Linked DNA regions of Diceros bicornis minor. The protein of the gene in region 3 interacts with the protein of the main gene of each other region in a biochemical or structural test. Links are inferred from orthologs where the notes say so. Each region holds a gene or a part of one and is shown on either strand. Other genes may lie near its edges.

The links.
Region 1: of the proteins of RELA (region 3) and PRKACA, one has a biochemical effect on the other in vitro, tested with the Homo sapiens proteins (4 studies listed by BioGRID and IntAct, with this or other methods). The link is inferred for Diceros bicornis minor from reciprocal best matches to the Homo sapiens genes RELA and PRKACA.
Region 2: of the proteins of RELA (region 3) and SETD7, one has a biochemical effect on the other in vitro, tested with the Homo sapiens proteins (3 studies listed by BioGRID and IntAct, with this or other methods). The link is inferred for Diceros bicornis minor from reciprocal best matches to the Homo sapiens genes RELA and SETD7.
Region 4: the proteins of RELA (region 3) and TBP form a complex in vitro, tested with the Homo sapiens proteins (2 studies listed by BioGRID). The link is inferred for Diceros bicornis minor from reciprocal best matches to the Homo sapiens genes RELA and TBP.

What each region holds. Positions count from the first base shown.
Region 1 is NC_080769.1:3,624,513-3,631,641, reverse strand, and holds the start of PRKACA (cAMP-dependent protein kinase catalytic subunit alpha), read right to left. Parts: upstream 3,020-7,129; 5' UTR 2,912-3,019; coding exon 2,866-2,911; intron 1-2,865. Other genes in the region: histone chaperone ASF1B, read right to left, coding at 5,923-6,111, 6,465-6,641.
Region 2 is NC_080750.1:29,991,164-29,998,894, forward strand, and holds the start of SETD7 (histone-lysine N-methyltransferase SETD7), read right to left. Parts: upstream 3,020-7,731; 5' UTR 2,958-3,019; coding exon 2,918-2,957; intron 1-2,917. UniProt on the Homo sapiens protein: Histone methyltransferase that specifically monomethylates 'Lys-4' of histone H3. H3 'Lys-4' methylation represents a specific tag for epigenetic transcriptional activation.
Region 3 is NC_080770.1:7,546,898-7,554,679, reverse strand, and holds the start of RELA (transcription factor p65), read right to left. Parts: upstream 3,017-7,782; 5' UTR 2,182-3,016; coding exon 2,175-2,181; intron 1,562-2,174; coding exon 1,535-1,561; intron 1,433-1,534; coding exon 1,278-1,432; intron 1,120-1,277; coding exon 971-1,119; intron 112-970; coding exon 20-111; intron 1-19. UniProt on the Homo sapiens protein: NF-kappa-B is a pleiotropic transcription factor present in almost all cell types and is the endpoint of a series of signal transduction events that are initiated by a vast array of stimuli related to many biological processes such as inflammation, immunity, differentiation, cell growth, tumorigenesis and apoptosis.
Region 4 is NC_080778.1:1,493,594-1,500,769, reverse strand, and holds the start of TBP (TATA-box-binding protein), read left to right. Parts: upstream 1-4,157; 5' UTR 4,158-4,263; intron 4,264-6,772; exon of another isoform or gene 6,773-6,825; intron 6,826-6,956; 5' UTR 6,957-7,110; coding exon 7,111-7,164; intron 7,165-7,176. Other genes in the region: PSMB1 (proteasome subunit beta type-1), read right to left, coding at 2,323-2,435. UniProt on the Homo sapiens protein: The TFIID basal transcription factor complex plays a major role in the initiation of RNA polymerase II (Pol II)-dependent transcription.

The sequences.
Region 1 (7,129 bases), on a different chromosome or scaffold from region 3:
GCCGCCTGTCCCAGGGGCCTCTCGGGGCCACTGCCCTCTGTCAATTCCTCCAGTTTGCTCAGAGCCCGGGCTTGGTCTTTTTTTCTCTACCCTCTTAGCATCTTACCCGGGCCCCTGCCAATGGCTTTGGCATCTTTGGGTACAGATTTCCCCCTTCTCAACCCCAGCGCTTGTTCTAGATCCCCACCCTCTCAGGAGGGGGCCGACGCTGTCCTGCCCTGGCTCCGAGACGGCAGCACAGGGGGCTGCAGAATGCCTAACTGGTGCCTAGTAAGGCTTGGGCATTTTCCTTACCCCAGTAGGGCTGGCGTCTGGGAGATGAAATTCAGGTGCCCCCTGCAGGCTGGCCTAGCTACTGCCCGTGCCCCCAGCCCGGCCCCAGTTCCGAGGGCAAATTTTGTAACTCCATCCTTAGAAAATCAGCGCTTTGAAGCAAAGAAGGGCTTCCTTCCTCATCCTATTTCCTCCTCTGAGAGCCCCTGCAAGACTCTGGAAGGAAGTACAGTTTAGGGCATTTCCCGAAGGGTGATATGGGTCCCACTGGCAAGGCAGGAAATGATTTTAGGTATGTTTAATTTTTCTAGTTACGTTGTATTTTAATGTGTATCAGAAAAAATATAGCGGGCACAGCAAGCTCATGATTTCATTTATATTACTGCTTAGGACAGATCAAAGTTTACATCTGGACAAAAGTGAGTCAAAGTTTTCATTTTAAATTAAGAAAACATAAGTGAGTAAAGTAAAAATCAGGGAGGAGGTGGCTTGAGAATGTCTGGGCTGGGAAATTCTGGGGTCCAGGAAGTTGGCTGGTGGGCAGATCTGGATGTGAATCCTGCCTCTGTGACATCATCTATGTCAAACTCAGCTCGTTTGGAAAATTCTGGTAACAGGCCGTTATGGAAATCACTGGAGCAGACAGATCTATGGAGCCCATTTAGCCTGGCACATCCTAGATAAATGGGCTCTATTGCATCGTGATGCTCCATTCCTGGGTGTCCGGCCTGCGCTCTGAGAGAATTAGCGGTTCCTTCCAGAGCCTCTGATCTTTTTCTTGGGGATCCTTTTCCCTGTGCGGCTTTCCACCCCCCCGACCACATGTGTCTGATACGCCTTGAAAGTTTTCCAGAACTATGTCATCTCCCCAACTTTCAACTGAGCCACTGCAATATACAGCTGCCTGCCTCTACCTTCCACCTCCCAGCCGGCCTCACCTGCTGGGGGCCCAGCCCCTCCCCCCAGCCTAGTCCCCTCCAAGCTCATGCTGAGACCTTTTTTGGTCACTACCCACCTGCTCCTCTGTCATCAAGCACTCAGCTACAGGCACTGGCCTCCCCGGCCCCCGCCTATCGGTGACATATCAGGCCTCCCCATGCCTGCCTGGCGACTCTGAGGTTTGCCATTTGAATCTGTATGGGAATAAAGTCCCCTGGCTTTCATGCCCAGGTCTTTCTGGGAGGGAGCATTCAGGACACTCAGATCCTGGGGTCTGAGACCAGCAACTGGGAAGAGAGTTTTTGGACGTGGCTTCCTTGCTGGCTCTGACTTTCTGAGTAACGGGAAGGGGATCCTAGCTTAGGTCCAGCTTTAGGCCTGGCGTGATGACAATTTAAGAGCTGGAGGAACTGAGGAAGGGGCTCCAGGCCATTTCTGAAGGCATTTCCAGACACAGAATCTCTTTCTCTGGCTGGCTGGAAAAGGCCAACATAATTTGGGGGCTGAGGCGGAAACAGGCCTCTCTCTGGCTGAGCTCTGGGAGTGATCAGAATCTATCTGTCCCCTGGCAAAGCAACCCATTAGATGTCACCCACTGCTGTCCCCGACTGCCACCCCAAGTCCCCCGGTTCACCATCCCAGCTCAAGCTGAATAAGTCTGGCAAAACACACTCTTCATCTCCCACTTTTCATCCCGGACGAGGAGCGGCTGAAGAAGCCCGGGGGACTGGGTGAATGACGGAGCCTCAGTTGTGAAACAACCATGTACTGAGGGGCCTCCAAGGATCCTAGAGCTCACTGCACAGCAGGAGATGGGAAGGGGCTCTGCTGCCGCCCCCCACCCCACTCCAGCAAGGAGGACGCAATGAATCCCAGCAAGATCGGCTCAAACTTGGCTTTGGAAGAACTGATGCGGTTCTCTACGTTCATAAACAGTCTGCTACCCCAGCCAGGGACAGACGCTTGCTTGGAGAAGGGAGCACAAGCAGAGAAGCAGAGTGACAGGATGAGAGAGGGGCAGAGGGACCCAGAAAGATCCTGTCCCCCATGCCAAGTGACACAGAAGAGAAAAACAATACTGGAGGTGGCTCTGGGAAATGCTCAAGGGGGGCAGAGTGGGTCTGGAGGGGGGCTGTGGTAAGGTGAAGAGGGGAAGGGCAGGAGAAAGATGGCGGGGGCTGGAGGGGGGAGGGGTGTGGTCACCAAGTGGCCAAGGTCCCTGTGGGGTGGAGGCAGACCCCACAGCACTCCCAGACTGGTAGATGTCTGGGTCGGGGTCTGGCAGTGGGTCCCATCTGTGGGAAAAGTGAGGAAGTGGGGGTTAGAATCTGGGGAGAGGGGCCAGGAAAGGAGAGGGTGGGGTGGTGACAGGCTCCCATGCGAGGCCCCAGCGGTCATACGTGCCATGGTTGGCAGTGACAGCTGGGTGGGGGGGCACAGTCTTTGCAGTGGGGGGCGGCCTTCGGCAAAGGGGCTCCTACGGGAGTCTTCTGGGGGCCCTGGGCCCCAATCTTGGACAGGCAGGAGGAAGGAGCGCTGGGGGGTAAGCGGAGAGAGATGGGGGGGCGCGTGGGGGGAGGGGCCAGGCGGTGATGGACAGGGTGGGGGCTGGCAGCGCGGGGCCAGGATCGGGGTCACGGCCCGGGTACTCACCGCTCTCCTGCTCGCTGCCCTTCTTGGCGGCGGCGGCGTTGCCCATCGCGGCGGCGGCGGCCGGGACCGGTCCCGGAGCTGCGGCGCGGCGGGTGCTGGCGGCGGCCGGCGGCCCCGGAGCGCGCTGGGCGGCAGCGGCGGCGGCGGCCGCTCGCGTTGGCTGCGCTGGCTGCGGCGCCGCGACCCCCGCCCAGCCCCTGCTGCCCGCGTCCCTCCGCGCCCGCCCGCCCGGGAACCTCAGCCCAAGTCCGCTGCTGCTGTCCGTGACGCCCCCGCAGCCCGCCGATCATTGGTCCAGGCCGCCCTGACTGACGGCGCCGCGCCCCCGCCCATTGGCTCTCCGCGACCCTCCCGCGCCGCCATAGGCTCTCGGTCCCATGACGCGCGCCGCGGACGCCCGGCCACTCGCGCGCTCGCGAGGCCTCAGCTGGGCGGGCCGACGCGCCTGATTGGCTGAGGTGCCCGACAGGACCCAGGGCCCGCCCAGCGAGGCCGCCAATTGGCGGAGGCGCCCAGTCCGGCAAGCCCCTGGCAGAACGTTCAGTGTCAATCCCGGGGTGAGAGGGCGGGGCGGACGCGCAGCCTGCTGCCCAGGCCGCGGGCGGGGCGGCCGAGGCTGGCTGGCGGGCGGCCGCGCGGCGCTCCGAGGCCGAGTGGGCGGTCCCGGCGGGCGCCCGCCCCGTGCGCGCCGCAGTCCCCCGCCCCCGCCCAGTGCGGCAGCGGCCGCCGGCCAGCCAAGGTTGGCGCCGCGGCCCCCCCACCCCCCGGCGCAGCCACTGTCCACCTGCCAGCGGGGGAGGGGCGCGGCCGGCGCCGCGGGTCAGAGGTCGCCGGGCCGTCGGCCGTCGTCATTGATAAGGCCTGGCGCAGGAGGGCAGCGGCAGGCCCGGGGTTCAGGCTGGGGTTGGGGGTGGTTCCTGGGGCTCCCCCAGCCGCAGCCCGAGCTTCAGGAGGATGCTGGGCCCCGGGAGCAAGGGGGCTTGGGAGGGGGCGCTCAGTGTCCCTCCCTGTGCTGGGCGCCCACCCTGGGCTCAGGCCAGCAGTAAGAGCTGGCGCTCGTTTGGTAATTCGCACCACACTCCTGTCCCGCAGGTACTGGTATCATCACTCCTGTTTTACAGATGAAGAACGTGGGGCTCAGTCAGGCTGAGGATACTCTCCATCCGCGCAAAGCAGAGGGAACTACCTCCCCCCCAAGCAGAGACGTAGCAAGATGCCCCTTCCTTCAGGATACCCTGTTAATACACACACAGCCTGAGGACGTCGGCTCCACCGCCGCACTACTGACATTTGCGGCCGGATCAGTCTTTGCTGGGGGGCTGTCTTGTGCATTGTAGGGTGTTGAGCAGCATCCGGTCCCTCTACCCACTCAACCCCTGTAGAACCTCCCTCTCGTCCACCAGGCACCAGTTGTGACAACTCAAACCATCTCAAGACATAGTTTAAGGTGCCCTGGGGGCAAAACTGCCCTCAGTAGAGAACCACTGAAGTAGACAAGGGCCCAAACAGGAGGTGCTGAGAGGGGCAGGGGACGGGATGAGCCAGCTCTCCCTGACTCGGAGGGGCTATCCGGGCTCAGCTCTGCAAGCTGATTCCCTGCTCTGCCTATAGACTTACAACCCGAACCCTTCCCAGAAGCTGTCCGAACCCACCTTCCTAGGCTCGCCAGTCTCAGGGAGGGAAGAGTGGGGCTCCTCTGTAAATTATGGGGAAATGGGTCACCAGCCAAACCACTCCCACTTGGGCTGTGGGGTTACAAAGGTGAAGTAAAACGTAATAAGAGTGTTGCTGTCTGTCCTTGGAGCACAGATGTTAATTCCCTCCTGGGGGTCAAGGTCAAAGTCTGGAAAGTCACGGGTTATGCTCTATCTACAGAACAGCTGGGTTGCTTAGGTTTTGACAAAGAAAAACCCCACCCCGGAACCTCAGTCTGGAATACAACTATCCAACCAAGTAAGACTCGAGTAAGAAGCTGAGCTTGGGGATGGGGCAGTCAACTCACTGGCTGGGGCAGGAGGCCCCCGACGTCAGGAGGAGAGGTAGACAAGGCTGTCTCAGCCCACCCAAGACAGAAGCAGAAACAATCAGCCTAGATCAAATGCTTTTTATTTTTAGACCAACCAAACATATTTAATATAAAAACCCTTTAATGTACAAACTGCAACCACAACAACATCCACATAGCAGCAAGGGGGTGGGGCGCGGCAGGGAGCCTGGTGGGGGTGGGGGACTTCAGGGGCCCTGGTGCTTCCCCTGCCCGTAGTCACTCTGTGGCCTGTGGGGTCTTAGCAGAGGGCAGAGCAAGGCCCCCAAAGGGGCCCTGATGCTGACACTGAGACAGACCAGCAGAGAAGGCCCCTCTAACATGCCATCTCCCCACAGTGGCAGCCTCCAGGGAAAGCCAGATCCAGTTAGGAGGTAACAGGAAGGTAGCTGTCACTGAGAAAATCAGCCATCATTCCTCAGCATCTTGCTGATCACACTTTTGCGAACAGAGTTTTCCAGGGGCTGTTGGATTGACAAGACCTAAAAATTGTTCCAGGAGGACAGAAACTGTGTCCGAGTCTACCTTCAAACCACGATTCCTTGCCCGTGACTCCAGAAAGCTGGGTGTATTCTGCTTGGTAGTTTGGGAAGGGAGATGAATGACAGAGCCTTTGGCCCAACAGGGCCAGAGCCTTGCCAGGCATTGACCAAGGAAGCCTCAAAGCAGGCCAGGGAGGCCTGTGGGAAGAGCTCTGGGTCAATGGTACTCCCGGGCGCACGGGGGCACAATGACCCGCAGGTGGAACTGACAGTGCCTGTGGAAGAGGGAAGGGACAGTCAGAAAGAACTAAGAACTGAAGCACCTGTTTCTGCAGGCCTGGGCAGGAGAGGTGAGATGATCCTTCTGGGCCAGGGCTGGGAGACGTGAGGCCTGTTCCTTCCTCGGGGCCAAGTTTAACCGGCCTGGATGTAGCTGACGGCCCCCAAGTCTTCCACATGGCCCCCAGGGGACTCTCTGGGAGGCCCCGCTGCCCCTTCCAGATGTGCCAGGAGACTGGCCTAGATCCCCAGTTAGATGCAGTCCATGGAGTTCTCGGGGAGGAGGCCGGGGATGCAGCCAGGGAGACCCAAGCCCTTGACAGGAGTGCAGCTGAGGGGGAGGCCGCAGCCCAGGGTGGGGTCCTCCAGCCTGTCCGTGTTGTCCCAGTTGATGTGGAAGCGGGTCACCCGGGGGTTTGAGGCCAAGATGTTCCGCTGGAGCTGGGCGGAAAAAGGAACGTCAACCCTGGTCAGCATGCCCTCTCATCACTCCTGCGGAGCCAGGGCACCCCTGCCCCGCTCCCCCAGGACAAGCAGAGCTGGCTTATCCCACCACCACCACAGCTGTGTGTGCCACTCCCGGGGATGCCCACCCCACAGTCTAGGGCCACCTATCTAATCTTGATTCTGCAAGGTGTGCTTCTGAGAAACCAAGACCTTTCTCTCTCCCGTTCTAGCCTGGCGCTGCAAGATCTGAGCACTACTTGAAAGCCTTAAGAAGTGACCTTGGCTCCAAGTTTCAATGACTCAACCCCCAGCAGTGCAAAGGTGGTGCGGTGCAGAGCCGGTCCCACCTGAGAAAAGTCCGGCTTCGGGGGCGGGTTCTCCCGCAGCTCGGGGTTGGGGTACTCGTTGTTAACGTAGTAGCCCACGCGGATGAACTCCTGGCCATGGTAGGTGCAGGTGATGAGGACCACAGTCACCCCCACGGCGTCGGTCTCAGGGATGAGGGACGGGTTGGGGGCGTCGGCCTAGGGGAAACACATCCTGGGTCTTAGCATCCATCGCCGCAGTCACACCTCCTCAGCAATACAATGCTTCTCAAGCAACACATGTCCACTGAGCCCAAAGCATGGTCTCTGCCTTTGGGAGTTTTCCATCGAGTGGGGAAGACAGAATCAATTGTGTAAATGCCTGTGAAATGCTGAACGTGATGGGTGCCACACAGAAGTAAATGGGGCTGGGGAGGAGTGTAGTGAGCAAGGTGTAGTGAGGAGTGTAGTGAGTGTAGTGGGGAGGGTGGCATACGATGAGGCTGAACAGGTGGGCAGGTGGCACCAGGCCACCAAGGGCCTGGTGGGCCAGTTAAGGGCTGGGAGAGAAAAAGCAAGAACATTCAGCAAGAGGTGAGTGCTGCATCACTCAGACCGCAGTGGCCTGCGGAGCCGAGATGGGAGCAAGGGGGGACTGTGGCCTGGACCGGGCAGCAGAGGAGACAGAGGTGGCCAGATTCCAGGGT
Region 2 (7,731 bases), on a different chromosome or scaffold from region 3:
CCCCCCGCCCCGGGGGATTCATCCGCTCTGAGTTTACAACTTCACCCAAGCTACAGTTCCACCCCGACAGAGAACCAAAACGGATATGATGTGACAAAAGACACTTAAACTCAAGTCCTGAAGAGACCAATTTCTTCCCTAGAGTAAATTTCTAAGGAGGAAGAAAAAGGATGTCTGTTGCAGAGGCTGTAAGTTAAATTCTTTCCCTAGATGTGTTTTTCTGAAAGTCACTGAACTCTATCAGAACCAACTCTCTAAAAAATTACCACTGATAAAGAGTGCTACTGACATAATACTTAACTGCTGCTTCCAAACTCAGTTACCAAGTATTTCATATATTTGGCTGACTCATTAAAAATAAAAAATAAGAAAAATGGAAGAAGACAGTTGGGTACAGTGGAGTGGGGTTCTAGAGGTCCAAACCGGTCTCCCACTCCCCACTGAGTGTCCCTGGAGTAGTTCTTAACTTCTCCATGCCTCAGTTCCCTCCTCTGCAAAATTAGGATAATATTAGTACCCACCTCCTAAGACTAAATGGATAATGTGCGTGTGAGGCATTTAGCACAGAGCCTGTACAAAATAAGAACTAAACAATTACAGCAATGATAACAATAGCTAAGACAATGAAATTACTGAGAACAGAGGCTTTGTTTATGGAGAGAGGTAGGTTAGTTGGTACTTAAACACCAAGATATTCAGACTAGCTTTAAACTAGTCCCCATGCGTGTGTTAGATGTTAACTAAAGACTATTCCGGACGGCACTAAAAAGGCCAAGCAGGGCTGGAGAAAAGCCCACTGGTGCAGTTTACTGCGAGTACTCATGCATACTGTAGACACTGTGTGAGTTGGAGCCTTAGAAGCTTTTAAGGACTTAAAAAGTCTGTGTTACTATAATCGTTTACTGGTAGGTACAGCTGAGTGACCACGTGTCCTGGATTGCCCCAAACATTCAAGGCGTATGCCAATTGTCCCAGCATGAATATCCATAGTGACCCCTCTCCTTCTCAGGCATGTTCTGATTTTGGGCAATAACGTATATGGTCACTCTATATAATAGAACTTTCCTTGTTTATATAAAGAACTTTCTCTGTTTCTATCCATTGGCAAGCTCAAAAACAACACTGATATATTTTCTCAAGTTTCTTGTTCACATTCTGCAGCGAGCCTGGAGACCATGGACAACTGGGGCTTATATTTCTAGACAGCTTCAGAGGGGAACGTGGTTTAACCCGGGGAGCACGGACCATGATCAAAGGTTTGCATGACATTTTTACAAGTAAAAGTAAACTTTGAAGAATGAGAGCAAGCCCTAACAATTTGAGAAGAGCATTTTTCATTTATCTTTCATAACATGAAGGCACAAGAAGTCAATAACTTAAATAATAAGAAGGCTTCCAATGGATCAACTCAAACAATGTCTTTGGGCCCCAGTAAACCCCAACATTGGCTTTACTTATTAGAGAAATAAATAGTTCTGTGAGTTCACAACATTGTGAAATTAAAACAACAAACACTTTTCAAAGCTGGATGAAGAAATGTTTTAATAGTTACATTAGAATGGATACCTTTTAGAGAATTCAGAAATATTATTCCACTTAATCTCATCCTCAGACCCCAGGAGCACTGCAAAAGGAGTCAATTATGTTTTATAAAAACATAACAACTAATTTCTTCTCCCACAGTAGCAATGACTATGTATCCTTATGCATTTGTACAGTGTTGCCACTTTGTTTTCCTTTACCATTTATGAGAATTTGTTTCTACCAATTAAACACAAACCAGATTCAACCAAAAGCTAAAAATTATTCACTTAGATGCTTAGTTTAAAATATTTTGGAATAATACCACACAACACTGCAAAACATCACGACGTAGTCTGAGGTAGAATCAAATAAATAAACACGCTCAAGAGTATCTTCCAGGATTCGCTGTTACAAAATCATAACATCCCATGACACAAACAACGAGATTGTATAACGTCCCCACCTCGCTTTTTAGAACTAGCAAAAAAAGAGGTGGAGAAACTCAGCAAAACAAAGTGGCGAGAAAAGTCGGGGGAGGGGCGCTAGAAGAGAAGGGGCGGAGAAACACGACACCAAGGCGGTGATATCACCCGCAGCCAACTGCATGGAATTCAGAAAGTTAAGTGTCACCCAGCAATTTCGGCCCGGGCTTGCGGCGCGCCTGCACAGCGTGGCGGCGGCCCGGGCTCGGAAGCAGGAAGGGGGAGGGGGCGGTGTGACTGAGTTCGCTCGGGGGCAGCAGAGGAGAGGGCCACCCGCCTCCCGGTCGGCGCGCGTTCGAGCCCCGGGTCTGGAGTCTCGTCCAGTGCCCTGCAATGATTTCATCTTTTCGGAGGAGCGGCCGCTCGGGCCGCTGCTGCCACGTGCGAGGTTCGGCCCTGTGCGCTGCGCAGGGGAACCGACCCGAACGCCGCCGCGGTCACCCCGGGTCGCAGCGGTGAGCGGAAGAAAAGGGCTGGCGGCCGGACAGGGGCTCGGGGTTGCCAAAACCGGGCGGGGGGGGTTGCTCCGCAGAGACCTCGGGTCTCAGGGGGCTGTCCTCCTGCGCACCCCCCCCCTTCAATCCCCAAAAGGGGGAAGGCCAGAGTGCGGGGCAGGTTTCGCAACTCCGAGGGCGAATGGAGGCGGTGGCCAGGCGGGATGGAACAGCCGTGCCCTCCCGGGGGCTCCGGCCCGGCGGAGCCCCGTTCCCGGCCTGCGCCTCGCCGCGCAGTGCGCGCTCCCGGCGGCGTGGCCGTGGCAGACTGGCCCCTGCCGAGCCGGGCAACGGGCCACCCGCGCAGGGGACAGTGGCGACCGCGGGGCCCGGCGCCGCGCGGGTCGCAGCCCGCCACTCCTTCCGCGTTCCGAGCCCTCGGCGCCTCCTCCCCCGGCCCCAGAGAAATGCTTGTACCTTCCACCGCCTCCTCCACCATTTCGTCGTCGCTATCCATGGCGGCTGCGGACCCTGCCCAGCTCGGGGCCGCGCGGCTGCCTCCCGTCCCTCTGGGTGCTCCTGGCGGCTGAGCGAGCGCTGGGGCTGAACCCTGCGAGTTTGGAGGAGGAGGAGGAAGAGGAGGAGCAGTCGGGGCAGGCTCGCACTGCCTCCCCCTACAGCCCTTTCAATGCCTTGGCCTTCAGCTGCTGCGGCAGCAGCCGTCCTCCCTCCTTTCGCCCACTTGCCCCTCGCCTCCGGGGCTCCGGGGTGCCGCCGTGGCCGCCGCCGCCGCTGCAACTTTCTCCTGTAATACCCCCTCTTTGTTATGGAGCAGCTGATCCGCTGACATCACCCAGCGCCGGTGCGCTCCCTCCCTCGCTGATTGACAGTTCCCTGTCCCTTCCCAGAAGTAAGGCTCCTTAAAACGAAAGGCGCTCCCTGTCCGCGCTGACTCGGCGCGCCAGCCACCCGGCCCCCGGCCCATCAGGGTTTATCTTTTGCTTCTTCGCGGCTCGGTGCGCTCCGAGCGCGCCACGCGGTCCTGGGCGCCGCGGGCTTCTCGCGGGCACTTGGGGTGGCGGGGTACCTGCGCTCGGGGGGCTCAGAACTCCTGACCTCCAACTGTGCCGTGGGCAACCTGGCAGTCCGCCGTGCGGTGCCCGCCGGCCCCCCTCGGGACAGCCTCCAAAGAGCAAGGGAAGCTCAGGAAGCGGCTCCGACGCTCCGGCGCCTCAGCTTCCTCTCGCCCTCGCCCCCACTTCACCCCGTTTGCCACCCGGAGCTGCACGAGTGCGGCACGCACCGGAGCGCAGGTGTCCCCGCCGGGCCGCATCACATCCGCGAGCAGGTTTCCCAGACTCAAGGGGGTGTCCTCCAGCCCCGATGCCGCCGGAGTGCGGCTCCCACCCTGGCGCGCCGCGTCCCCACCCTCCTCGGGACCGCCGGGCGTCTCGGGTGATTCAGAAATTCAGCAAATCCAAATGGCAGCGGGCTCTTTATCAGGCAGGAAACAAGCGGCACGGAAGGCCCGGCAGGTTCCTGCTCGCGATGGTGGTAACGGAAAAGGAGCCACCGAGCGGAGCTAACGAGGAAGGACCCTCCGTCTGGCGCGCCTCCTCGCGCCTCCCGCCCTGTACGTGTGATGTCCCCAGCTGTCTCCCTGTTGCTCCGAGTGCCAACCACTCCACAGAATCGGGCTCTTCAAGTGGAGGAAATCGCGAGGCACCCGGTTCCCAGCCTAGCCACTTAGTGTCATTATGGCGTTGCCTCTTACAGGTGGCGGTAAAGGGCGGCTGTAAATAGCTGGTTAAATGGATGCAAATGTACACAATGTACCGTGGAATTACCCGGTGCTGCTCTGGGCCTCTGCCAAGAACAGCTACTGCACGGGGGAGGGGGCAGGAGGGAGCAAAGAAAGTTGTTCCATTTTGTTTTCTGAACTGAAATGAGTCTTTGGGGATTTCAAAGTGCTTCCAGCCCCGGGAGACCACGCCTTTCTTTTGGCTCTGTGCTTAAATGCCAGGTGTTTTTCACCGAGTATTCTGAGTTTCTTCTTAAATTCAGTTTTCCTCTGTGAAAAAGAGAATGATGTTAAGGACATTTGCCCCGTACACTGCCAGGAATTTCAACCCCTTTTGACTGCTTTAGAAAGACAGGGAAGGGCCCTGGACCAGGAGGTAGGAGACTTCGGTTCTGGTGCTGCTCACCTGCGGAGGGGCCTGGGAGGCCACCCCTGCCAGCCCGAATTCCTCCTCCAGGAGATAAGAGGCTTAGGCTATACTGGGATAAGTTCCCTCCAGCTTAGCCTAGACCACTCTGAGGTCTCCCAGCTTAGTCTACACCCCTCTGAAGTCTTCTGGCTTAAGTTTAACCTCCTTAAAGTCCTCCAGTGCAGTCCTCCAAAGCTACACAGAGAAGGTGTTCCTGCAGTGGAAGATCAAAGAGCCACTTCAGGTTAACATCATTTTCAAAGGTGAACCACAGAAACAAGATTTTATCTCTGAGTTAAAAAAAAAAACAAAAACAAAAACGCCATCATGTACTGAGCATGATCACTCACTGGTTTTGAGTTATATGATAATTTTTCTTATTTTCTCTTTTTTAACATATCATCTCTTCCCTTACACATTACACTGACGTACCAAATACACCAGATACCCATCTTCTTCCCCAGTTTCCAGTTTATTTTCAGGGGCAAAAAAGATGCTGAAAGCCAAAGGAAGCAACAAGAATTTATTCCTTTATTCAAAGGGGGCTGAGGCAGGGGGAGGGGAGGGTGGAAGAAATCTCCCCTCAAAACACACAGTTGGAACCACAGAGACACAAGTTCATGGTGAATGGGTACCTGGGGGCAGGAAGAGGAATTGTGTCACAAGTGTCCTGCCCCTATCTTTAGGATCAGAGGAGAATGTCTAGCCATCCCCTTGGTGCTCTGATGTTTTCCCAGCCTGTACTGTACACCCAAACTGTCAAGTGCCGCCTTTGCACTTGCTACCATGAGAAAAAACCCTGCACACAGCCCCCATCACTGAAGCAGGCCTCTGGACCTGAAGGGGTGGAGTGGGAAGTGACCAGGGTCTTCCTGACAGAATGGGCAGTGACAGGAGGGAAAGCTCCCTGAGAACCTCCATCAGATTTGCACATGAGGCAGGCAGCAGCCAGGACACAGTCCTGTCCCCCTTCTGCCACCATTCATTCCTGCTGGCTCTGGGCCCAAAGTTTAGGCAGAATGTTTTTATGACTCCCTTCAGATGCATTTGCAGTTTTACAAATCATGTTGTGTATGTTTCCCATCCCTTTCTCTAGACTGGCTGATTCTTATTTATTGCCCCAGGACCTAACACAGTGCCTGGTACAGAATGAAGGATAAGCTTTGTCAGTGATGCTTTTGCAGAGAGGAATATTCTGTTTTATATAAACAGTGCTGAGTCTTTCTCACAGACGGGATCCTCTTCCTGCGTTTTGGCAAAGTGCGTTGCTTCAGTGCAAAGTCTGAAGAGCGTTTTTGAGTTGCTCTACTTTCCCACATCTACTGGCCCCAAATCTGCTTCCATCGCATTCTTTCCCACAGTTTTCTTCATTGAGAGCTCATTTCATAAACCCTCTTTCCACTTGGCTTCCTGCCATCCTCCTCTGTTGTATTCTGTCCCCACCAATGTGGTCATGGGCTAGAAAAATCAATAAAGCTCTTAATCACAATGTGCAGCAGCAGCAGCATGGCCAGCTCCTAACTCAGCAGATCTCAGTGCGCCAGAACCAGCCCTCACAGAGAGGAAAGAGACTGCACAGGATGTCCAACAGCCAGGCCCTGCCAGGGGTGGGACTTGTTTCCATGCCCACACCAAGGAGTGGCTTTTCTAAGCTGCTGTGGCTGGCTTCCTTTGTATCCAAGAATATATCCCTCTCTTCACACTCGTCTTGGGAAACATAAGTCCCTCTTCCACTGCAGCAAGCAGTCAAAATACTGAGTTATTTTATTCATTTTACCACCCATGTCTTTCCCCAGAGAAGGCTGATGCTTACTTATAAGACTGATATAACTCTTGCAATAAATAGATTTTTATAGGCATCTTGTATTTTATGCACCTTCCTACATTTAGGGGAAACAATTCTGTCAATTCACCACTATACGCGCTGGCAAATTGCGAAAAACCTAGTGTATGTGGTACTCATGTGGAAGTCGCTAGTGCTGGCTGTCACTGACCGCTCATCCTGCCCTGCTGATAGGGGCTGGAGGAGGCCAGGCAGTTTTCCGAGTCTCCATGCTCCTGGGAGGCAGGTGCCTCTCTAGGTTTCCAGGTGGATCTATGGCTCGTGTCCCAACTCTGCTTTGATGGTTTGATTACACTGCCAGCGGGGAGACAAGGACAGATGAGTAAAGGAACTCTTCATTTTGGCACTACTCACCCCTCAACAAGATTTTTTCCCCACTAAATTCACCAATTTGATTGAGGTTTCACCCTATTTGTTTTGGTTCCTCCAAGACCTAGCTATGCAACTGGTCACTTAAGCTCTCTGTATCTTAATTTCCCCACCTGTAAATGGGGAGGTTGGGCTACAAAAATTCTAAGCCCAAACCTCTGCCCATCTTTCCGGGGAAAAAGTTAAATAGAGCATGAAGAGCCCCAGGATGTGCACAGCAAAAGGAAAGCGGAAGAAGACGGGGCAACTCTACCAAACGGAATATTCAAGTTCCCAAGTCATCTCAACTTAATAGCACTGAGATCTGGGGTGAAGGAGGGACCTTATCTTGCTCTAGGAGGAGAGGCACAGGCCTTTCAGGAGAACCAAGGTCCTTGGCTTCTGAATCTCTGAGTCACTAATCAAGTGGCTAACTGTGTTAGTGACAACTGCAGAAGCTGGAGGGAGGGGCAGGGAGATGAGCAGCGAGGAGGAGGAGGGTGTGGGGGAGGAGATGTGGATGAAAGGGAAGCATTTACAGCCTGTGGAGCACAGCGAAGAGCAACCGGGAACATCAAGGGCACCAAATAAAGGTCTGGGAGCAAAGGAAGAGATGGAGAAAATTCGTTCTGCTGGAAATAGACATGACTGCAGTCATGAAGAGGACTCAGGATTTCAGGGTGACCTGATTTGATTACGGCAACAGGAAGTGCAGGAGAGGGCAGAATAACCTGACCTGAGGAAGTGAATTAATAGAGAAGACATCATAGTTGCCATGGCATTAAAATACCTCGAGCCACATTAAGCTTCTTTTTTCTCTCTCACTTGATTCTTGTTCTTGTAACGTGTTAATGTCATTGCAATATATCCAGTAAACTAAATTAGACCTT
Region 3 (7,782 bases):
TCTCCCCCTCACCCCTCACCTTGGAAGGGGTTGTTGTTGGTCTGGATGCGCTGACTGATGGCCTGCTCCAGGTCCCGCTTCTTTACACACTGGATCCCCAGGTTCTGGAAGCTGAGGCCCCCCAGGCATCAGTCCCACTGTCTCCAGCAGAGCCTGGGCCCTCCCGCCTCGCCCAGTCTGCCCATTCCTCTCCCACCCACTCACCAGATGATCACTCCGTGCTTAACCCCCTCGAATGGCTTCCCACTGTGCTGCAATGACACCCACTCCTTCTTCTGGCTGACACGCCCGTGCCCGGCCACCTGGCCCTAGCCCTAGTCCCCGTTGGCTCCCTGCCCTCAGCCACAGGGGCTTCTTTTCCGTTCTCCAAACACACTAAATTCATTCCCATTTCAAGGCCTCTGCACTTGTTCATTCTGCTTGGAATGTTCTTTCTGTGCTTCTCTGCTTTCTCACCGTTCAAATCTAACCCGAGAGAGGCCTTCCTGACCTCCTGATCCAAAGGAATGAGACCAGCTCCCCCGCCTCCCCCACTCCGGGCTATTCCTCCAGCCTATTACTGTTTTATTTTCAGCACTGAAATTATTACTAACAGTATCTTGTTTATTTATTTGTATATTTATTTACGGCCTGCCTCTGTCAACTGGTATGTAAGCTCCAGGGGAGACTGCTGGTCCAGTGGTTTTCTTCCTTACTGCAAGAGATGTGACACTGAGGGACTTGCCCCTCCAGTCACAGGGGTTAGGGGTTCAGAGGTGATTAAGGACCCATCCCTATCCCATGGAGCTCACATCTGCTTGAGAGTAGACACACAAACAGATAACTTCAAGACAAAGGGAATCTGCTTGCAGAGCTGGGGAGGAATTCAGCCCTCTGTCCAGAAAGGAGTAACACTGTGACAGCTACACACTGCCCCCTCTCTGGTCCTCCCACCTCCCGCTCCCTCCTCTGCTGTCCGAGGGGAGCTCACCTGTGGATGCAGCGGTCCGGGCAGAGCTCAGCCTCATAGAAGCCATCCCGGCAGTCTTTCCCCACGAGCTCGTGGGGGTGAGGCCGGTGAGGGGGGTCCTTGGTGACCAGGGAGATGCGAACTGTTCCTGGTCCTGTGTAGCCATTGATCTGTGCAAAGTACAGAGAGCATCCTAGAGGCTCAGGAATTGCAGACCCAACTCCCAGACACAGGTTGCACAGGGGTCTGGAAGCAAGGCCGCTGGGGTTCCAGAGCCCTGCCCGGATGACTCTGTGCCTCCCCCGCAACCCTGGGAGCCAGTGCTGACCTTGATGGTGGGGTGGGTCTTGGTGGTATCCGTGCTCCGCTCGCCTGGGATGCTGCCTGCTGAGCGGCCTTCACACTTGTAGCGGAAGCGCATGCCCCGCTGCTTGGGCTGTTCGATGATCTCCACATAGGGGCCAGAAGCCTGGGCTGGCTCTGCTGGGGAGACACCGGCCCGCCTCCATCAGGTGGCTGACCCCATGGCCCCTAACCCCCGGGGGGAGCTCATCCCGAACCACTGAGAAAGGATGGTCCACTTACCCGAGGAGAAGATGAGGGGGAACAGGTCTGCAAGGGGAGGGAGACAAGTGTCAGCACAAGCCCACTTCCCATCCTCACGAGGGAGGGCCTGCTTCCCCACGGAGAGGAGATGGAGCGAGGCTCCCTCCGAGGGACACTGAGTCAGGGCCCGCTACCTGGAAGCCGCAGTAAAACTAAGGGGTCGGGGTAAAGGAGCCAGAAACACCTGTTTCCCGAGGGAAAACTGGGTTTCGCGTCCTCCCTTTACTGGGGGAAACTGAGTCAGGTCCTTCTCTACTTTCATAAGGAAAACTAAGGGAGGACACTCCCCACCCCCCATCCAGAGAGGAAACTGAGTCAGATACAGGCTCCCCTAACAAGAAAACTAAGTCAGAACTGCCTCCATGGGCCTCGGGGGGAAACTGAGTCAAAGCTCACCCCACACCCCCACCCCAGGAGGATACTGAGTCAGGACCCCCTCCACCCAGAGGGGAAACTGAGTCAGACCCCTAACGCCTGCCCCGCCCCGCGCCACCATCCGGCCGGCCGCTCCCTGCGCAGCGCCCATCGGCGCAGGAAGGGGCGGAAGGCGGCGCGGGGCTCCCGCCGCGGTCCCGGCGGCCCCGGCGCGGCCACCCGCGGGGTTGGAGGGCGCCCTCACCTTCCATGGCCGGGGTCCCGGGGGCGGGGCCGGGGTCGCAGCTGGGCCCGCGGCGCCCACTACAGCCGAGCCATTCGCCAGAGGCGGAAATGCGCCGCGCGCGCCCGCCGCCGCGTCACTGCCGGGAATCCGAATGCGCCTGCGCGCTGCGCCGCCGCCGCTGCCACTGCTGCCGCCCCGCGGGGCCTGGGGCCAAGTGCCTGCTGCGCAGAGGACGAAGAGGCCGCGCGCGCCGTGCTGCCGGGGGCCGGGAACAAGCGTGCGCCCCGCGGGAGACGAAGAGGCTACCCGCCCGGAGGCTGCTCCCGGGGTTGGCGGGGCGGCTTGGCTCGCTCCTGGGGCTGGGCCTCCTGGAGGGCGGGCCCGGCGATTACTCACAATGTTTTTAGGGGATTTCGGGGCCCCCTCCCGCGGATCGGAGGAGTTTGGTGATGTCACCCAGGGCCGGGTCTGGAGCAGAGCCAGGGCTGCTGGGCTGCGGCCGCCCGCCCTGCGCAGGGAAAGGCCCGGGGCCTGCTTCGCCCGCAAAGGCCGGGTGGCTGACCTCCACACGGTTTCCTAATCGCTAAATGTGCTCTTGGTGGCTGTCGCCGCAGAAGCACTTTTTAGTTTCCTGGCCACCCCGATCGAGATGCAGCACGGGGAAAGGGAAGCGCCCGGACCTCTCCACCTGGCGGTGCTTGGATCGCGGGCTTCCCGGAGCCCACTGCACGCAAGGGGCGACCGAGGCTCCGCGCCGCGTCCGCTCCCGCCGGCGAGCGGGCCGAGGGCTCGTCGGTTTAAAATGCATCCACCCTGCCAGCCATCTGGGGCAGAGGTTGGGCAGGAGGCGCCCTGGGGTCAATCTCCGGAACCTCGTCTCCGCAGCCTGACGCCTGTGTCTTAGAAGGTCCGGGGCTCCCAGGGGCCAATTGAACCCGCTGGGTCACGCCCCCCGCCCGCCTCCCCAGGGCCTCCAGCTAGAGTTTAACCGTTGGCCAAAGCATTTCCAGCAGTTAACCGTCATGCAAGCCCTCGGCGGGAGTATTGTCCCCAAGGCCAACCCCAAGGCGCATTCGTGCGGGGTGAGGGAGGGGGCTAGAGCGCCCCCCACCCCAGGCTGTTTCCTCATCCGAGAATGAGGATGCTCCATGGCAGGCGGTGGAGCCTTCCCCAGATGAAGAAAGACTTTTTTATATTCTCTAAATTCATTCTAAATTAGGGAATCATGTGGGAATTGGAAAAGATTGGAAATTCTGACTTGCTTTCCCAGGCTCTGAAAAAACAGGAAGAGAAAAGTGAAAATAGTTATTACCCCTCCCACTCACTTGAGTTTCTCACGTGGCTGGCCCCGTTAGAAAAGTCTGCTAACTTTCTTGAGGAGGCCAACTTCAGGTCGACAGAATAGATTAATTATAATCTTTGGTTAGTGACACACAATCGTCATTGATCCTCGCATGATCCTCTTTTTAAAAATTCGTATGTGTTTATAACTTTTAAATTAATACATCGAGTTCCAGTGTACCCACTGCAAAACTCCAGGGGCTCGATGGAACCCGGCCAGGACTTAGATCCACCCTTGTGCTCCTAACCTGTTCTTCCCTTCCTTATCCCCCGTGTCGGGGGCACCACCATCCAGAATTCTGTATTTATTATTCCCTTGACTTTTTTGAAAGAAAAAATTTTTAAGAAAAATAAATTCACTCACATATACATGCCTAACCAATATATTGTTTAGTTTTGCTTAGTTTTGAACTTCTATGAAGAGAGTATCATATTTTTTTGTCCTTTATTTGCTTTCTTCACTCAACATGTTACCAAGGTTTATCCATTTCATGGTTCCATCCATACCTACTTTTTACTGCTGTATACTATTCTGCTGTGTAAATATACCACACACCATTTATTTATTTATTCATCCTGAGGATGACCATTTGAGTTTCCAGTTTTTTGCTATAATAAATAGTGTGGTTAAGAACATTCCTGTGAATGTCTCCTGTTGTATACGTTTTCCTGGGTATATACCTAAAAGTGATTTATTAGGGTATAGAATTTCCCTTTATCAGTTTTCTTTTTATTTATTTATTTATTTATTTATCCCCCCAAAGCCCCAGTAGATAGCTGTATGTCATAGCTGCACATCCTTCCAGTTGCTGTATGTGGGACATGGCCCCAGCATGGCCAGAGAAGCAGTGCGTCGGTGTGCGCCCTGGATCCGAACCCGGGCCACCAGCAGCAGAGCGCACGCACTTAACCACTAAGCCACAGGGCCGGCCCTATCAGTTTTCAAAATAATGCCTTGGTTCTCTATCATCCTCCAAAATCGATCAATAAACATTTAAAAAGATTATCAATGAATTCATGGGTTTATACATATTTGATGTGCTTTAATCTATTGCAATTATTATTCTTATTGAAGTTCAGATTGTTCCGTCTGTGGCCATTGGGAACCTTTTCAAGTTGATTCTTTAGTCCTTTTGACACAATTCCAGTAGTGTCCAAGGTCTGGAATCAGACAGCTTTCTGAGGAGTCCTGGTTCTTCTCTTCGTGGGAAATGACCACAGTCTGAGTGCCAGGGACACTTACTGTAGCTGGGTCAGTCACTGTAGTCCTTTTCAGTGAACAGTTAGCCAATATATATATATTTTTATATGACATGCGTTAGAAGTTCATACTGACATCTCCTTTTCAAATTTAGGATTACAGAGTTTTAACTCAATTACCTTACATATTTCTCCCATGTCAATAATAATCTCGATTCTCTTTTTACAGAAATAGAAAAATCCATCCTTAAATTCATATGGAATCTCAAGGAACTTTGATTAGCCAAAACAATCTTGAAAAAGAAGAACAAAATTGGAAGACCAACACTTCCTGATTTCAAAACCTACTACAAAGCTATAGTAATCAAAACAGTGTGGCACTGGCATAGAGACAGACATATAGACCAATGAAACGGAATAGAGAGCCAGCCCTGATGGCCTAGTGGTTAAAGTTCAGCACTCTCACTGCTTCCGTGGCCCCGGTTTGTTTCTGGTCAAAGAACCACACCACCCATCTTCAGTTGCCATGCTGTCGGGGTGGCTCACACAGAAGAATTAGAACGACTTACAACTAGGATACACAACCATGCACTGGGGCTTTGGGGAGAAAAAAAAAATAGAATAGAGAGCCCAGAGAAATAAACTCTCACATATAATAGTTGAATGATTTTTTTTTTAATTTTATTTATTTTTTTCCCCCAAAGCCCCAGTAGATAGTTGTATGTCATAGCTGCACATCTTTCTAGTTGCTGTACGTGGGACGCAGCCTCAGCATGGCCGGAGAAGCGGTGCGTCCGTGCGCGCCCGGGATCCGAACTCAGGCCGCCAGCAGCAGAGCGCGCGCACTTAACCACTAAGCCACCGGGCCGGCCCTTTTTTTTTTTTTTTTAAATTTTATTGAACGATTTTTGAAAAGAGCGCCAAGACCATTCAATGGGGAAAGGACAGTCTTTTCAACAAATGGTGCTGGGAAAACTGGATATCCAAATGCAAAAGAACGAAGTTGGACCCTTACCTAACACCATCTACACCATAGACAAATTAACTCAAAATGGATTGAAGACCTAAATTAAAGAGTTAAAACTATAAAACTCTTAGAAGAAACATAGGGGGAAAGCTTCACGACATTGAATTTGGCCATGATTTCTTGGATATGACACAAAAGCACAGGCAACAAAAGAAAAATAGATAAATTGGACTTTATCAAAATTAAAAACTTTTTTGCATCAAAGGACACTATCAACACAGTAAAAAAATCAATAGAATGTGAAGAAATGTTCGCAAATCACGTATCTGATAAGAATTAATATCCAGAATATATAAATAACTCCTACAACTCAACAATAAAAAAACTGAACAACCCAATTCAAAAATGGGCAATGAAGGGGCCAGCCCGTGGCGTAGTGGTTAAGTTCAAGCGCTCCGCTTCCGCAGCCTGGGGTTCTCGGGTTCAGATCCCAGGCATAGACCTACACACCGCTAGTCAAGCCATGCCATGGTGGTGTCCCACATACAAAATAGAGGAAGATTGGCACAGATGTTAGCTCAGGGACAATCTTCTCCACCAAAAAAAAAAAAAAAAGGCAATGGACTTAGATATTTCTTCAAAGAAGATATAAAATAAACCAATAAGCACATGAAAAAATGCTCAACATAACAGCTACCAAGGAAACCCAAATAAAACCACAATGAGATATCACTTCACATGCATTAGGATGGCTATTATCAGAAAAACAAAATAAGTGTTGGCAAGGATGTAGAGAAATTGGATTCCTTGTGCCTCACTGACAAGAATGTAAAATGGTGCAGCTGCTTTGGAAAACAGTATGGCAGTTCCTCAAAAAATTAAACAGAATTACCATATGATCCAGCAATTCCACTTCTGGGTATATGTATATACAAAACAGTTGAAAGCAAGAACTCAGATATTTGTGCACCAATGTTCACAGCGGCGTAATAGCCAAAAGGCAGAAAAAACTCAAATGTCCACGGACGGATGAATGGATGAACAAAGTGTAGTATATCCATACAATGGCACCATTCAGCCTTAAAAAGGAATGAAATTCTGGTACATGCTACAACATGGATGAACCTTGAAGACATTACACCAAGTGACATAAGGCAGACAAAAAAGGACAAATATTGTATGATTCTACTTATATGAGGTACTTAAAGTAGTCAAATTCATAGAGACAGAAAGTGGAATAATGGTCACCAGTGGCTGGGGAGAGGGGGAAATGGGGAGTTAGTGGTTAATGGGGACAGAGATGGGAAGGGGAGTTAGTGATTATTGGAGATGATGAAAAGATTCTGCAGATGGATAGTGGTGATGGTTGTCCAGCAATGTGAATGTACTTAATGCCACTGAACTGCACACTCAAAAATGGTTAAAATGGTATATTTTACGATAGTAAAAAAGACTCAGTTCTCAATGACACCAACCAATTACTCATTTGATCTATCTCACACTATACACAAAACACTCTCAGAATAACAATACCAACCCTACAACCAACAATGTGATTACTGAAAAGAGTATATTTTTACAGTTCTTGCCCTTAAGTTATATACAATTTTTTGGTACGTATTCATCATCAGGTTAAGGAAGCTCCTTTCTAATTCTTGTTTACTAAGAATGTTTGTGATAAATGGGTGTTGATTTTTATCAAATGCTTATCCTGCATCTATAGAGCAGATCATATGATTTTTCTTCTGTATCTGTTAACATAGTATGACGTAGCTTTCCTAAGAGTAAACCATCCTATATTCTTGGGATAAATCCAGCTTGGTCATGGTGTGTTGTATGGTTGAATTTGATTCACTGATATTTTAGGAGGGGATTTTGCAACTGTATTTGTAAATGAAATGGCTGTAATTTTCCTTTTTTTTTGGCCTTGTTTAATTGTGGTATCAAAGTTGTAGCAGCCTCATAGAATGATATGAGGAAAAATCCCTCCTTTTCTATTCTCTGGAAGAGTCTGTATAAGTTTGGAATGATTTCTTCCTTGAAAAATTGGTAAAACTCACCAGTAAAACTGATTGAGGCTGTTGTTTTCTCCGTAGATAGATTGATTTTATTTTAACC
Region 4 (7,176 bases), on a different chromosome or scaffold from region 3:
CTAGTTCAAGTGCCCCCCACTTTTTTTGGTGAGGAAGACTGGCCCTGAGCTAACATCTGTGCCAATCTTCCTCTATTTTGTATATGGGACGCCACTACAGCATGGCTTAATGAGCGGTATGTAGGCCCGCACCCAGGATCTGAACCTGCAAACCCCGGGCCACTGAAGCGGAGCATGCAAACTTAACCACTATGCCACCAGGCCGTCGCCAAGATGTCCATTTTTGTGTAAGCAAGTGGAGGCTTATGTGATGGACAGGGATCTGACTGTAGAAGATCCCAAATGCCAACTTAGGATTTTGGAATTTTAGCGAGGAACCATAATGCTTATATGAGCAAGAATGAGAAAAGTTCCATTTGGAAAGTGGGGTTTTAAGAAGGCTGCTGTGACAATGGGATGGTAACAGTTTTCCAACAACATTCATGCAACAAGAAGGTAGCAGCGTGGACAGGAAGAAACGATTAAAAAAAAAAAAATTAACACACAAATTGTACAAGTTTTTGTAAATGTGTTAGAAGCTAAAGAGCCAATTATGACATCCAAGATTTTAAACTTGGATGAGCAGCATGACGGTATAATTAAAAGAAGTGTAAAGGAGGAGAGGTGATTGGGAGGAATAATTAGCTTGCTTTCTGTTTTAGTATCTTCAGTTATGCTGAGAGCACAAAGTCCAGGTACAAATGTTTTATTTAAGAAACCAGAATTGAGGGACTCAGAGGTAAAATTGGAGAAACAGAGTTGGAAATTATCCTCCCACGAATGCGACATGTGACAGTGCTGAGTCACAAATATGGAGGTCAATGACTTGAAGTTTAATCACACATAAAGAAGTAGAATAGAAAAAGATATAGAACTAAGCTTTATTACGTAGAAGCAAAGGCTACCCAAAAGCCAGCAGCAATAAATGCTAGAGAAAAAAAAAAAAAAGACTGAGAAAAGGTAATTTAATAATCAGAAAGTCATAAGTAACTAACTTTTAGGGCAGTAATGGCTTAAATTGGATTACAGGGGCTTAAAAAGTGAGTAACAAGTACTGAATACTAAACACCTTGAAAAATCTTATAAAAAATTTATAACTGCTCTATGAAATGGGTCTAACAACCCATCTTACCATGTAACTATTCATTGTCACAGGAAGCGTTTAGAAGAGCAACAGTAAAAGCATACACACTCAGTGGCAATGTACCCAGGGATTCAAGTGCTGGCTCAACTTCACACCAGCTCTGTGCCTACAGCAACGCAACTTCTACAAGCCCCAGTTCATTTGCAAAAATGGGGTTAATGCCACCTAACACTTAATTATCGTGAGAATTAAAAAAGATAACCGCTTGCAATTTACAAAATGCTTCTTTCTTGATTTTCTTCCCCCAAACTACCAGTAGCTAATGAAGATAAGGAAATCTGGGTTAAAGAAGTTGAGAGGTACCCAAGACAACACTGGCCTTCAGTGGCAGAAACAAGGCTAAAATCACAGCCTTCCATTCTCTTTCCAACAAACTCCAAAAATCTGCCTTAAAATTTTTAATCCCTAAGTACTTGCTTAATTAACCTGGTTATCATAACCATCTGTTTGTTCGAATTGCGTCTGCATGCTTTCATGTAGGAAGTTGGGTTGGTATGATAACCGTTATTTCCATTTACATCGCTACGGTGATCACTCCTAAGAGTCCTAAAGAGAGCATCTTTCTACAACTCTAATTCTTTTGGTGTCCTATCAGGGGAAAGTATTACTCAAGAAAAAGCTGGTAATTTAAAAAAAAAAAAGACAACTTGAACGCAACATGGAAGAATACACACATTAAAAGGTCCCCATTCTGAGTATTTCTTTCCTTGAACTTAAGCTAAACCTTAAAAACAAGCACTGATCTATCAAACTAAATCTAGCCAACGAATCCCACCTTCTACCTAAAATAACAGAAAATGACTGAGTTGTCTGATCAGACGTCTTAGCTACAGACGCAACCATGCCTCCAAAGACGCGGACCTGTTAACTTCAGAGGCTGAATGTCCCCCCTGCCGCCGGCGTGACAAGCACGCTCAGACCCCGCGAGAGGGCGAGGCCCGTGTCTGAAGCTCTTTCAGAACAGAGCCCAGACCTCCATTCCTGTCTGCTGTCTCACCGCAGCAGAGGGCGGGTTATGCCCAGCCACCGTCCAAACCCAGACCCAGGGGACCGACCCACAAGGAGAAGCCCGGGAGAGAAGACGGCCCCGAGCGCCGCGGAGAGGGGCCCGCGGGCGGCGAGGCTGAAGCAGGGACGGGGTTGGGGGTTGGGGGTTGGGGGCTGGGGCGGAAGTGAAAGCGGCGGCCCCCTGGGCTTACCCTCCGTTGAAAGCGTAAGGCGAGAAGCGCAGCTGCAACGGGCTCGCGGCTCCGTGAGGCTCCAACGCCGGGTCTCTGCCGGGACCCGAGAAGACGGCTGCGGAGGACAACATCGCGCGGCGCCACTCCTGCTGTCTCACGGCGAGATGGCGGCCCCGCCGGAAGCTGCGTCACTTCAGGCTTCCCCGCGGCACTCCCTCCGCCGCTCTATCTCGCACCCGTCGTTGCTCCCGGAGGTCAGCGCCGCCGCCTGGCGTGTTGGTAGCGGCGCATCCCCTATTGCAAGACAGCTGACAGATGTAAAGGTTTTCTTTCCTAAGAAAACATTCGAATTCACTCCTAATGGGCAAAAATTTTAGTCTGATCATACAAAAAAACTCCTAAAACTATGGAGCAATGGAAACTCGAATACTGTATTGGAATGTAAATTGGTACAGCCAAATTTCGAAAAGGGATTGGCACCACCTAGCATAGTTGAAGATGTAGACACCTCATTACCCAGCAATTCCACGCCAAGGTGTATACCCCCAGAAGACATGTGCAAGAATGTTCATACAGCATTGCTCTTAATGGCCCCAAGTTGCAAACGAACCAAATGTCCAAAAATAGGAGAATGGATAAACTAATTGAGGGATACGTCACAGCAAGGAACATTAACCGACTGCAGCTAGAGGGAACACACATCAACATGGATGTCTTATAGCGTTGGGCAAAAGAATACATACTATATAACTCAGGAGTACACAGTGAGTAGGAAGGACCCGTTTGGCTGGGGTATGGAAGGTGGGGGGGGTGGTTCTGACGCTGGTAATACTCGGTTTCTTTACTTTATTCATAACCATCTGTTAATCTGTACATATGTTTATGCACTTCCTTATCTGAATATTATATTTTACAATTTTTAAAATGTTATTTTTAAAAAGCAAGCAAACAATTGGCTAATATAGGATGGACTACCTGATATATACATGCAATTCTGGAACCAGAAAAGACTTTTGAAAAGTACTTGGTTAATTAAAACTTTCCCCATGTTTTACTGTAAACAAACAAAGGATAAAACAAACGATTTTCTTTCATGGTTATGGACAGAGTATTGTACTTATTCAGGTACTGTCCTGGAGACAAAAAATGTATATAACATTTCCTTTCCTTAAGGGGCTCACAACCTCATTGATTATATAAAATACAAAAGAAGCAAAATCACAAGCAGTACAATCTGTGATTATGTCTAAATGAGCCATAGAAGGAGATGCAGGTACTCTGGGGTCCAACCAAGCACCCAGGAAGCAAACAGACAGAAACAAATACCGATAGTTTCTTCCTGACAAACGTGAAAAGAGTGAATAAGACGGTAGTAGCAGAATTAAAATATCATTGAATATGTAAACCAGGCTGTCCGCTTTTGTTTTCCTTATCCTTCTACATGTTTGAGAAGAGCCAACACGCACTGAGTGCTTACCGTGTGCCACAGTTCATGCATTTCCTTAATCCATCTCACAACGCTATTAGTATTCCACTCGACAGACGAAGAAACTGAAGCAGAGAGGTCAGGTAACTTGTCAAAGGTCATACCGCCAGTCGGTTTGAAAAGTCAGCATTTAAAAATCAGTATCCTGCCTACGTCCAGCAGAGCCCAATTAGAAGATGCTCGGGCAAGGCGACCTCGCCCCGGTACACCACAGGAGCTCCGCCCCGCCGCTCGCGTCCCTTAAGCCAAGTACCCAGGGAAACGCAGGAAGTGACGGAGCGCCCACACTTCACATGGCGGCCGCTTGGGCGTGGGCAACCGGCTGAAGCCGAAGGGCGAAACTGGCGGAAGTGACACTACCAACGCGCGCCAGGAGTTCAGGAGGGTCGGGAAGGGTCGCCGTGGCGGGCGCCTGGGCCGCCTGCGGGTTCACCTCGTTTCTGCGGCCGTTGGTAGTCTCTGCAACGACTCAGGTAACAGTCCTCTTAGCTTTTCCTCTTCTCTGAGGATTCGTGCAGAGGCGACCACTACAGCGAGGCCTGGGGCGATGGCGGGAGCAGACGCGGAGTGGGCGCGCGGGCCGCGCGGAGACGGCCCTCCCGCTCTTGCAGCCCGCCGGGGCCTGTACCGGCCGCCCCCGCCCCGGCTGCGTGTCGCCGGGGCCGCTTCTGCTGTGGTGCGAAAGCGGCTTCCCGTGTCCGAGCGTGGGTGCGGGAGGGCCAGGACCCGGAGTCTTCCCGTCCTGCCCTCTGTTTCTTCTTCTCGAGGTTGGAAGGCAGATTCACTCTGGCCGGTGCCCACCTGTTTTGCTACCAGCAGACGTGATTTTATTATAAAGTTGCCCTGGAGACTTTTTGAAGGTTTTTCAGAAGCCAGAGATTTGGGCACGTTAGAGCATAAGATGTAAACACACACCACTTTATTTACAAAGGCTCCCTCCTCTAGGCCCTGGACAATGTGGTTTTCAAATTTAAAACTCTAGGTAGGCTTCTCTACGAAAACATGCTTGAGTTATATAGACACTAGGGGGCTGTGCAGAATTAATTGATCTTTCTCCCTTACCAGTGATTGTGTCCAAAAAATATCGAATATGATGCTTCAATTTCCAACAGATGAAGACCCTCTGCAAACAATTTTCTTTTCTAAGGATGAGTTAGTGTAGTAATAACTGCGGTTTTAACGACACGGGTGAGGAAAGATGGTCAGCGCCGTCACTGGGAGTGAGAGATGAGCTCTGAACAATATAACATCAGGGACGAACCTAGTAACTCAGATTTCTTCTGTAGACTTGCAGTTTGCGGAAAGGGGTTTGAAGCCACCAGTTTCTGGATAAATTTCTGGTCATATTTATGAGTGCTTTAAATCCCGCCCTCCTTGTCTCTTGCCTCAACCACAGCAGTGACTGCCTTAAATTGAACTTCCAGCCTCCAGTTTTATCTCATCGAATTCATTCACGCTCTTGCCAAAGGAGATCTAGTCATGCTGCGCTTCAAAATTTTGTCACTGTTCTTGTTGTTTATGTAATAATGACTGAAACTCCTGATAATGTGACCCCATTTGTATTTGGTATCACATCCCTTGCAGGAGCCTTCCATACAGTCATGCTAAGCTTGTTGCTTGCATACTGCATGCCCTTTCAATCTTTGTCTCCCTGTGCTTGATCTTTCTTTTGCGTGAGGTGCTGATTTGTAAATTCCTACTTGCCTTGCTAGACTGGAGTCAGATGGTCCCTACTTTGTGAAAATACTTGTCAGAACACTTGGCAGTTATCTTGTCTTCTCTTGCATAGCATGTATGCATTTATTCATATTGCATACTATCTGCCAGGTTCGGTTCTAAGTGCAGAGATTGCAAAGACTTGTATGCTTTTTTCTGCACTCAAGGAACTCAGCATGGTGCATATCTGCTATTATAGCACTTAAGCTTTGCTGTACAGTAATTATTTGCATACCCTTCAAATTGAACTCTGATGCCAAGGACTATATCCTGTTCATTTTTATATTTGTAGCACTTCTATTGTTGTTAATTATAGGATATTGTTATTATAGGTTGTCAAAAAACGTATAATTTTCCTATATCTCTGATATTTTCTGAAGCTGAGTTTTTATTTTTATTTTTTTGGCCTGCTTTTTAGCGATGAGTATGTAGGATATATAATCTTTGGGGTCCTTTGTCCTTTCAAAGTGATTGTCAGATTCTTTCATTCATCCAAAAAATGTGTGTCTTTGACATAGAACTTGTAACATTAAGACCTGTGAGTTCTATGTGAGAATGTCTTATTAGCTGATAATGTTTAAGCTGAAATCTGATAATAGTTAACATTTGTCCTGTGCTTACTAGATGTGATAACTAGATGCTGCTCTTTATGTGTTAATCAGTCAATTCTGTTTGATTCAGTCGGTTCTCAGCAACCCTGAGCAAGTTAGGGATCCATGAACTAAACTAAACAAAAAGTCCCTTGGTTCTCTGGTCTAAAAGTAATTTCAAATGTGTAGCCAGTAAAGAGATGATGACTTAAGGAGAGCCAGATCCAGGCACAGTTTGTATTTGTGTGTTCTAAAGAGGTAAAGTCATTACATATAAAAAACATGATGTATTTATATTTATGTCTGTACAGCTTCTATCACAGTATTTTATTAAGGTAGCAGCTCAATAAATGATCACATTAAAGTGTATTGCATCCAATTCGATATTTATTGAACTTAACTTATCCTCCCAAGACATGATAGAGGATATAAAAACCGATTGGAATGTTTAAAAACCTAAACTTGGCCTAATAGCGCTCAGTACATTAATAGGGCTTAATACATCTATACATTGCTTAAGAAATATTTCTACCCAGATATGACAGTTTGCTCAGGAATTCATTTTCTCTGGGTGTTATTCTCCAAAAGTTTTTAATGTTGATTATGACACCTTAATTTTGAACATTGTAAGAGTATTTAAATTAAACATGTAACAAAACAATTTTTCTGTTGGCAGTTGTGCATGCAGTCACAGGAAACATAGAAGGAATAAGATTTCAGCATTATAAGGTAAAAAGAAGTGTATTCCAAAATAGCTTCATTGGTTTTTTTTTGTTTGTTTTTCGTGTAACCATGAAACTGGTTTATAAGACTGTACAGCTTACCTGTATTCTTACATTAAACTTCAAACTTTTTTCCAGGCAGCATCACTGTTTCTTGGTGTGTGTGAAGATAACCCAGAGAGTTGAGGAAGTTGCTAAGAAGAGTGTGCTGGGGATGCTCTAGGAAAAGACCGAATGCTGAGGCGAGTTGCAGTCCAAAGGGTTTTGATTTGCTAAGAAGAAAGTGAACATCATGGATCAGAACAACAGCCTGCCACCTTATGCTCAGGGCTTGGCCTCCCCTCAGGTAATACAGCTG